Linked DNA regions of Canis lupus familiaris. The protein of the gene in region 1 binds, or shares a complex with, the protein of each later gene. Links are inferred from orthologs where the notes say so. Each region holds a gene or a part of one and is shown on either strand. Other genes may lie near its edges.

Region 1 (3,812 bases):
GAGTTCAGGAAGTTGCATTTAACAATCATAAGGGCAAAGACTTCGGTAGAAGATTTTAAAAGGAAAGATACAGCAAATCAGTCTACAACTTTTGAGAGTTTCTGGAATAAATGAGTATCATCACTGAAACCTTCCACCTTGAGACCAGTAGGCAATTTTTTCCATAAAATAAAATCTTAATAGTCCAGTGGGGGATATCAGATTTCTATAAAATCTCTTTATTTTTTTAAAGAATGTCTGTGTTTCTTATACAGGTATATACAGATACATAGATGTAACTATTTTTATATTAAGTAGAAGTAATTTTACTTCTTTTCTAAATTAGCTGGTTATAATAATTTAGAAGTTGCAGAATATTTGTTACAACATGGAGCTGATGTGAATGCCCAAGACAAAGGAGGACTTATTCCTTTACATAATGCAGCATCTTATGGGGTAAGTTCTTTCCTATTACCTTTAAAATCTCTGAAATTTTCAAAGTGGAAATCAGTATTGCAATTCAAAGGGCATTTAGGGGGCAGCCCAGGTGGCTCAGCGGTTTAGCACTGCCTTCAGCCCAGGGCGTGATCCTGGAGACCTGGAATCGAGTCCCACGTCGGGCTCCCTGTATGGAGCCTGCTTGTCCCTCTGCCTGTGTCTCTGCCTCTCTTTCTCTGTGTCTCTCATGAATGAATAAATAAAATCTTAAAAGGGGGGGGGGCATTTAGCTTGACTTTTTCATTTTTTAGAGGAGTAAATATGAGGACTAAAGAGATTAAGTAATGTCCAGGTCTCAATTCTGATTTTGTTGTAAGCTAGCTGTGTGACATGCAGCACATTTGTCATTCGTTGTATTACCTTCTTTACCATCTCTTATCTTCAGTAAGATAGTTTTGTTTATTTGTTGATGCCAGGAAGGATACCCACTAGGACTCCTAGGAGTCTGTAGAGTTTCAGATGCGTTGTTCCTGAGTTTATAATGACCCTAAAATGTTATAATCAATATTGGCCAGCTTCAGTCGTATAATTGGAATAACTGAGAAAGGTTGCTGATTTATAAATCGATGTTTAGCAGTTATAAAACTTGAATAAATGAGAAGTTATTTAAGTTGTATTCATTTATTTGGTTCCCATCCGGTATAGAATTCTTAAATTCTCAAGTTACTAAAACATCTGTAATTTTTAATCAGCTACCCATAAATTATGTTTGGGAGCAACACAGTTTTTCATTTCCAGAACAGGTTTGAAAATATGGAAAAATAGGTATATAGTAAGTTTCTTCTTGGGAACTAAAATGTGGTAATATTTCAGACTGTAACAGGAATATTTTCTTTTACAGCATGTAGATGTAGCAGCTTTACTAATAAAGTATAATGCATGTGTCAATGCCACGGACAAGTGGGCTTTTACACCTTTGCATGAAGCAGCCCAAAAGGGACGAACACAGCTTTGTGCTTTATTGCTGGCCCATGGAGCTGACCCTACTCTTAAAAATCAGGAAGGACAAACGCCTTTAGATTTAGTTTCAGTAAGTGATGGACTCTTTGAAAAATCTCATTGCTTTCTGACTTTTTAAAGTTCACTTGGTAGATATAAAATGTCTTCATGGTAAATGTGGCAAAATCTATTTTAGCCCAGTCTAAATGTAGGACATCTTTGGCGTTAAAATATAATATGTAAATAATAAGATTATCAATCAGTTATTGTATCCGGGGTGCTTTTAGAAATAGGAAAAAGAAGTGTATGGTATTGCTGCTTATGTTATTAGTTGGGAAACAAAACAGGCGCAGGCCCTCAGTGAAAGCTATTATGGTGTGTACTATGCAGAGTCATAGAGGACATATGATGAACCTTCCCAGTCAGGGACATTGCTCTCAAAGTGCAGCCATAAAACCAGCTTATAGTAGGGATTCCCTTCCCTCCCAGACTGCCTCTTCCCAAAGTTCCTGTTCCTCACTTATCTCACCGAAAGTATTTGTGAAACAAGCTTGTTCCTCCAGTTTTCTATGAAGTTTGTTTGGTTTTGGTTTTTTCCTTCTCCCAAGGGAACTCATGTAGGCATCTCCATTGTAGCCTCTGCCTTGGCCACTGTGACATAGGTGTCTCTCTTGCCTTTACGACTGTGAAATTGACCAGGGCATTGGAGGAAAAGGGAGAAGAAATTCTTGTTCAGATGGGAAGGGAAGTGTCTTTTACATACTGCTTTCTCCTGAGAGAGATTCCACTGTTACAGATTACACTGAGAAGCTGATTTAGTTCAGCTGCATTGGGGGTTAAATAGATTTTTCTCAGCAGGCTGACAACCCAACAGTATTTGCAGTATTTCTTCAGGGAAAAGTCTTTCTAGTTCCAAAATACTTTGGAAGTATACTTTTCTAATTCATTCCACCCATTTGTTCATCCACCAGACATAATTGACATGAAACAAAGGGCTCTAGAGAACAGGTGTGGACTTTAGGGTCAAACAGACCTGCCTTAGAATTCCAGCTCTGCCACTTAGAGTTGCACACTCTTTCACCTTGCCTAGTCATCTACAAATGGGGGCAAAATATGTCTGGTTAAGGGCCACCTGGCTGACTGTCAGAAAAGCATGCTACTCTTGATCTTGGGCTTGTGAGTTAGGGCTCCACACTGGGTGTAGAGATTACTTAAAAATGAAATCTTTAAGATACATACATGTGTGTATGTATATGTCTAGTTAATATGAAATTTAAATGAGGTAATGTACTTGAAGTCCCAGGTATGATAGCAAATACATAAAAAGCACCCAACAGATCGTGCTATTATTTTAAAATGTTACCTACAAGCTGTGAGTGCTGTGGAAGTCCTCAGACTCTGGTAGGAAAAAGGTAAGGATTAGAAGAGACTGTATCCATGACTAGTCATGAAAACAAGTACTGATTTACTTCTTGCTATTAATTAGTTAGGGTCTTAATTGAGCATTGTGAAAAAAATAGTATATATCAGTAATTAAACAAATTAATATACTAGTAAATTTGGGGATTTTTTTTTCCATGCTAGCTGATTTTATTAAAATGATGATCTCACTCCCCCCATTCAATTTTAAGGAGCAAATATATCACTGAATATTTTCCAAGAAATATAAACAAGTCATTGTTTACTGAAGTTCCATGTAGATTGAATTACTTCTTCCAGAATAATTGCATTAGTGTTAAAATTTTCTTACCTTTTAAAATTGATATTACTATAGCTCATTTCAGTGTTTTTCAGAATATCATAGTATCAAAGTTAGGTTTTTTTATGCTTTGCTACATTTAACAGGGTTTTTTTTTTTTAATTTTCTGTGTCTTTGAACAGATTTTCTGAATTATTTTAGATTTGGTAACAGTTTGACTGGATATCACTTGTTTTACTTTTGAAATAATCATTTTTATATAATATGCAACTCTAGTGCAAATCTGCTGAGTTTTTGTCATATTTTTAAATGCGTTCTGTTGGGTATAGGAGAATTTTAAAACTTGGCTTATCACAGATTTAATTTCTCTCTGACCCACACCAGGCAGATGATGTTAGCGCTCTCTTGACAGCAGCCATGCCCCCTTCTGCTCTGCCTTCATGTTATAAACCTCAAGTGCTCAATGGCGTGAGAAGCCCAGGAGCTACCGGCGATGCTCTGTCTTCAGGTCCATCCAGCCCATCAAGTCTTTCTGCAGCCAGCAGTCTTGACAACTTATCTGGGAGTTTTTCTGAACTGTCTTCAGTAGTTAGTTCAAGTGGAACAGAGGGTGCCTCTAGTTTGGAGAAAAAGGAGGGTGAGACATTCTGCAAAAATAACTTTGTCTTGTAATATAGCCACAGATTTGTCATTTAGA
Region 2 (3,812 bases), on another chromosome or scaffold:
ACGTGGTTTTTCTCGGCCTCCTCTGAGGATGAGCGCAAGGTGAGCCTGCCTTCAGGAGTGGGGAGCTGACAGGGCCAGTGAAGGGATGTGGCAGGGACATGGGGCTGGGTGGGTGCTGTGCCTCAGTGCTCCTCCTGAAGCCCAGGGCCTGGCAGCAACACCACGCACTCAGAAGCTGTCCTGGGTGGAGCTCTGAGTAGGCCGAGGGCCCATGAGGGTATCTCCCTGACCTTCGTGTGGACCAGCCTGGGCAGACCCTGCCCAAGGCAGCAGTACACCCACTACGACCCTGCCTGACCCACAGAGCTGGATGGCCTTGTTGCGGAAGGAGATTGGGCACTTCCATGAAAAGAAGGAGTTGTCCCTGGACACCAGGTGTGCCTGCGCATGGGAGGGGTGGGTGGGGTGTCACCAGGGCAACTGGGCTTCACATGCGTGTCTGCCTTCCCTTGAAGTGTTCCCAGAAGGTGCCAGCCAGGCTGTGTGCGTGTGTGTGTGTTTGTGCGTGTGTGTGTGCCCCCACACACACCCCTTGGTAGTTTCAGCTCAGGGGTCCCACATGACCCTGCCTGCCCACGTAGGAGGCCCAGCATTTGCAGCAGCTCAGAGCTTTCGCTTCCCAGTCCCCTGATGCTCACCTGGGCCCACCTGGGACAGAGAGGGGAGCGAGCGGGTCCTTGGGGCACTGGCTCAGTCCCTCTGGGCGTCGGTGACCTCACTGAGAGGAGGCCCAGCAGGCAGCAGAGGTCCTCTGGGCAGGAACAGAAGCCATCCTGTCCTTTTGGAGCTGAGACGGAGGCCTTGGCCACAGATGCCTGCCTGACCCCAAAGCTCCCTGGCCCTGTACCCTGAACAGCTCAGTTCAGTGTTGATGGCAGCCCCCAGGGCAGGGTAGGTGGGGTATTGGGGGAGCCCTGAGGGCTGGCACCATCTGGCAAGGCAGGGCAGTGGCAGGGAGGCACCAGGCCTCCAGTCCCTTGGTCTGTTTTTATCACTCATGAGGAGCTTGTTTGAGCATGAGTCTTACTTCGTGTCTAGCTCTGAATATGCCTGTGTGTCTCTGTGTGTCGTGTTTGTGCATGTGTCTGTGTCTGTGTGCATGTGTCACACAGCCAAGGGTGTGCATGTGTATCTGTATGTGTGAGTGCAGAGGAGCTACCCCTACCCAGTGCTCACTGCCCCACCCCTGCCCCAGCTTCAGTGACTCTAGCTCAGACACGGACAGCTTCTATGGTGCAGTCGAGCGACCTGTGGACATCAGCCTTTCTTCATACCCCACAGACAATGAAGGTAAGGCCTGTCTCTGCATACCCTGTCCCCCCACCTCTGCATACCCTCCCCTGCCAAGGAGGAGAGGCAGCCTAGGTCCTGGGTTCATACCCTGCCCTGTGCCCCCCCTGAGTCCTGGCTCCCAGTGTTCTGAGGGCCCCTGCCCCATCACTCTTGGGTGCAGCTGGGCCTGGGCTGCCTGGGGTCTGACCCTCTATCCGCCTCAGACTACGAGCATGAGGATGAAGACGACTCATACATGGAGCCTGACTCCCCGGAGCCTGTGGAGCCCGAGGGTAGGTGGGCAACTTGTGAGCCTGGTAGGCTCCTGGGGGTGGAACCCAGGTAGGGCCCCTCCCAGGCTGGGAGTGCCAGCCTGACTACTGCTCTGGGTGGCCTCAGTTTCCCTGTCGTGGCCCAGGTTTTAGGAGGGACAGAACAAAAGAGATGTATGCTTTGGCTGGCTCTGTTCACCTTGTCCTCCTGCCTTTGCAGCTGGCCCGGGTCGGAGGGGGGAGGTGATTTCCAAATGTGTGAGGTGGGGGTGCTGCATGTGTGATGCTGAGCTAGTGGTGGTCCTGGGGGCTGAGAGTGGGGAAGGAGGGACCCTAAGGAGTGGGTGGGGCCAGGGCAGGGCCTCCCGCCTGTGGCTGATGGCTCTCCAGAGCACCTGCAGGCCAGCCTGTCAGGTACTGACCCACTCCCACCCAGTGGCCAAGCAAGGGAGCAGCCATGTACCAGGCATCATGTACATGTGTCACAGCCAAGCACAGGGTCAGCTGGGGGAGGGCCGTGTCTCTGTCCTGCCATCCCACAATCCTTTCCACTGTCCTGGGCACTTGGGACAGTCCTTCTACCCCAGCCACCCTGTTCTTCTGTCATTCAACCCCACCTCCCCTGTCAAATGCAGCAGGTGCAGCCCCCTTCCCTCCTACTGGCCCCTTCCCTCTGGGGACACCACCAGGACCTGCGGGCCATGTGCCTCAACTTCCCCCCCAGCACAAGGCCCATGGCTCCATCTCGTGTCCATCTGTCCCACCCTGAACTGCGGTCATATGTGGCTAGAGATGAACACTTAGGGGCCTCTCTTGGCCTCCGGGGCCAGTGCTCCTGCACATGGCCCCCCCACCCCCCTCCCCACCCTTCTGAGTCCCCACTCCAAGCAGGCTTCCTTCCCTCCCCAAAACATCTCATTAGGGTTCCAGTGGTGTCCCCACTCTCACATGCAGCACTTTGCAGAGGTACCTTCTGCTCCAGGCCCCTCCCACCTCACTCAGTGCCATCAGCACGAGCCAGGCCACCCCAGGACTCAGGCCGTGTTCACTCCTCTCCCGGCAGCCTCAGGTCACTGGGACAGCCAGTGTCACGGACAGCCTGGGGACTCCAGCCAGCACCTCTCCTCTGAACCTCACACCTGTGCCCCAACAGCGCACTTGGCACCCTTTCAGTGTGTCCTGCGACATCAGCAGACACAACCACCTTCTACCTCCCGACCTGCTCCCATCCTTCCTCCTCAGCTCTGTCCCTGGGAATTATAGCTTCCCCCAGCGGAAGCGAAGTCCTAAGAGTCCCCTTGCCTCTTCTCTCTCATTTCTGCTTCCGGGAAGCTGATGGCTCAGGGAGCTTGTGTGGGCTGCTGGTAGGGGGTGGCTGAGGAAGGGAAGGTGGCGCAGGTCAGTGGTGGTGGCCCAGCCTCCAGCAGGTGACACCTGTGCACTGACTGGGTCTCTTTACTCCGCAGACACCCTGACCCACCCTCCGGCCTACCCCCCGCCTCCTGTGCCCACACCCAGGAAGCCAGCCTTCTCTGACATGCCCCGTGCTCACTCCTTTGCTTCCAAGGGCCCCAGCCCTCTGCTGCCACCCCCGCCCCCTAAGCGTGGCCTCCCTGATGCCAGCCTGACTTCTGAGGACTCCAAGAGGGACCTGCTGGGCCTGAGGCGGCCAGAGGCTGGCCTCAGGGTGTCTGTGGCCCCCCGGAGGATGAGTGACCCCCCAGTAGGCCACCTGCCACCTGTGCCCAGCCTCCGGAAACCCCCTTGTTTCCATGAGAGTGCCAGCCCTAGCTCAGAGCCCCGAGTGCCTGGCCACGGGACTGGCTCTGTCTCCAGCTCTGCCAGCATGGCCACCACCTCCTCCAGGAACTGTGACAAGCTGAAGTCCTTTCATCTGTCCCCCCGGGGGCCGCCGACACCCGAGCCTCCACCGGTGCCAGCCAATAAGCCCAGGTTCCTAAAGATGGCTGAAGAGGCCCCCTCAGAGGAGGTGGTCAAGCCCAGACTCTTCGTGCCTTCTGTGGCCCCTAGGCCTCCTGGACTGAAGCTACCCACACCTGAGGCCATAGCCAAGCCAGCAGTCCTGCCGAGGTCAGAGAAGCCACCCCTCCCCTATCTCCAGTGAGTTCATTTGGCGCTCATGCCCCTGGGACCCCTCCCCAACTGGCAGATCCTCGTGCTGGTGCCCTGGCTGCCTCGTCTCTGGCATTCCCTGTCCATGACGGGGACCAGACAGCCCTAGTACAAGAGCAGGGAGGCTTAGGCTGA

What was found.
Region 2: the proteins of TNKS2 (region 1) and SH3BP2 are in contact, whole or in part, in a crystal structure (PDB 3TWR), measured with the Homo sapiens proteins. The link is inferred for Canis lupus familiaris from reciprocal best matches to the Homo sapiens genes TNKS2 and SH3BP2. Residues at the interface, in NP_079511.1 of Homo sapiens: Arg525, Ser527, His531, Phe532, Gly535, Tyr536, Asn537, Arg538, Leu560, Asn565, Ser568, Tyr569, His571, Asp589, Trp591, Phe593, Glu598, Lys604; in NP_001116153.1 of Homo sapiens: Leu413, Gln414, Arg415, Ser416, Pro417, Pro418, Asp419, Gly420, Gln421, Ser422, Arg424.

What each region holds. Positions count from the first base shown.
Region 1 is NC_049249.1:6,508,586-6,512,397, forward strand, and holds part of TNKS2 (poly [ADP-ribose] polymerase tankyrase-2), read left to right. Parts: intron 1-325; coding exon 326-435; intron 436-1,318; coding exon 1,319-1,507; intron 1,508-3,499; coding exon 3,500-3,752; intron 3,753-3,812. UniProt on the Homo sapiens protein: Poly-ADP-ribosyltransferase involved in various processes such as Wnt signaling pathway, telomere length and vesicle trafficking.
Region 2 is NC_049224.1:61,990,458-61,994,269, reverse strand, and holds part of SH3BP2 (SH3 domain-binding protein 2), read left to right. Parts: coding exon 1-39; intron 40-304; coding exon 305-375; intron 376-1,195; coding exon 1,196-1,290; intron 1,291-1,453; coding exon of another isoform or gene 1,454-1,496; coding exon 1,497-1,565; intron 1,566-3,010; coding exon 3,011-3,665; intron 3,666-3,812. UniProt on the Homo sapiens protein: Binds differentially to the SH3 domains of certain proteins of signal transduction pathways. Binds to phosphatidylinositols; linking the hemopoietic tyrosine kinase fes to the cytoplasmic membrane in a phosphorylation dependent mechanism.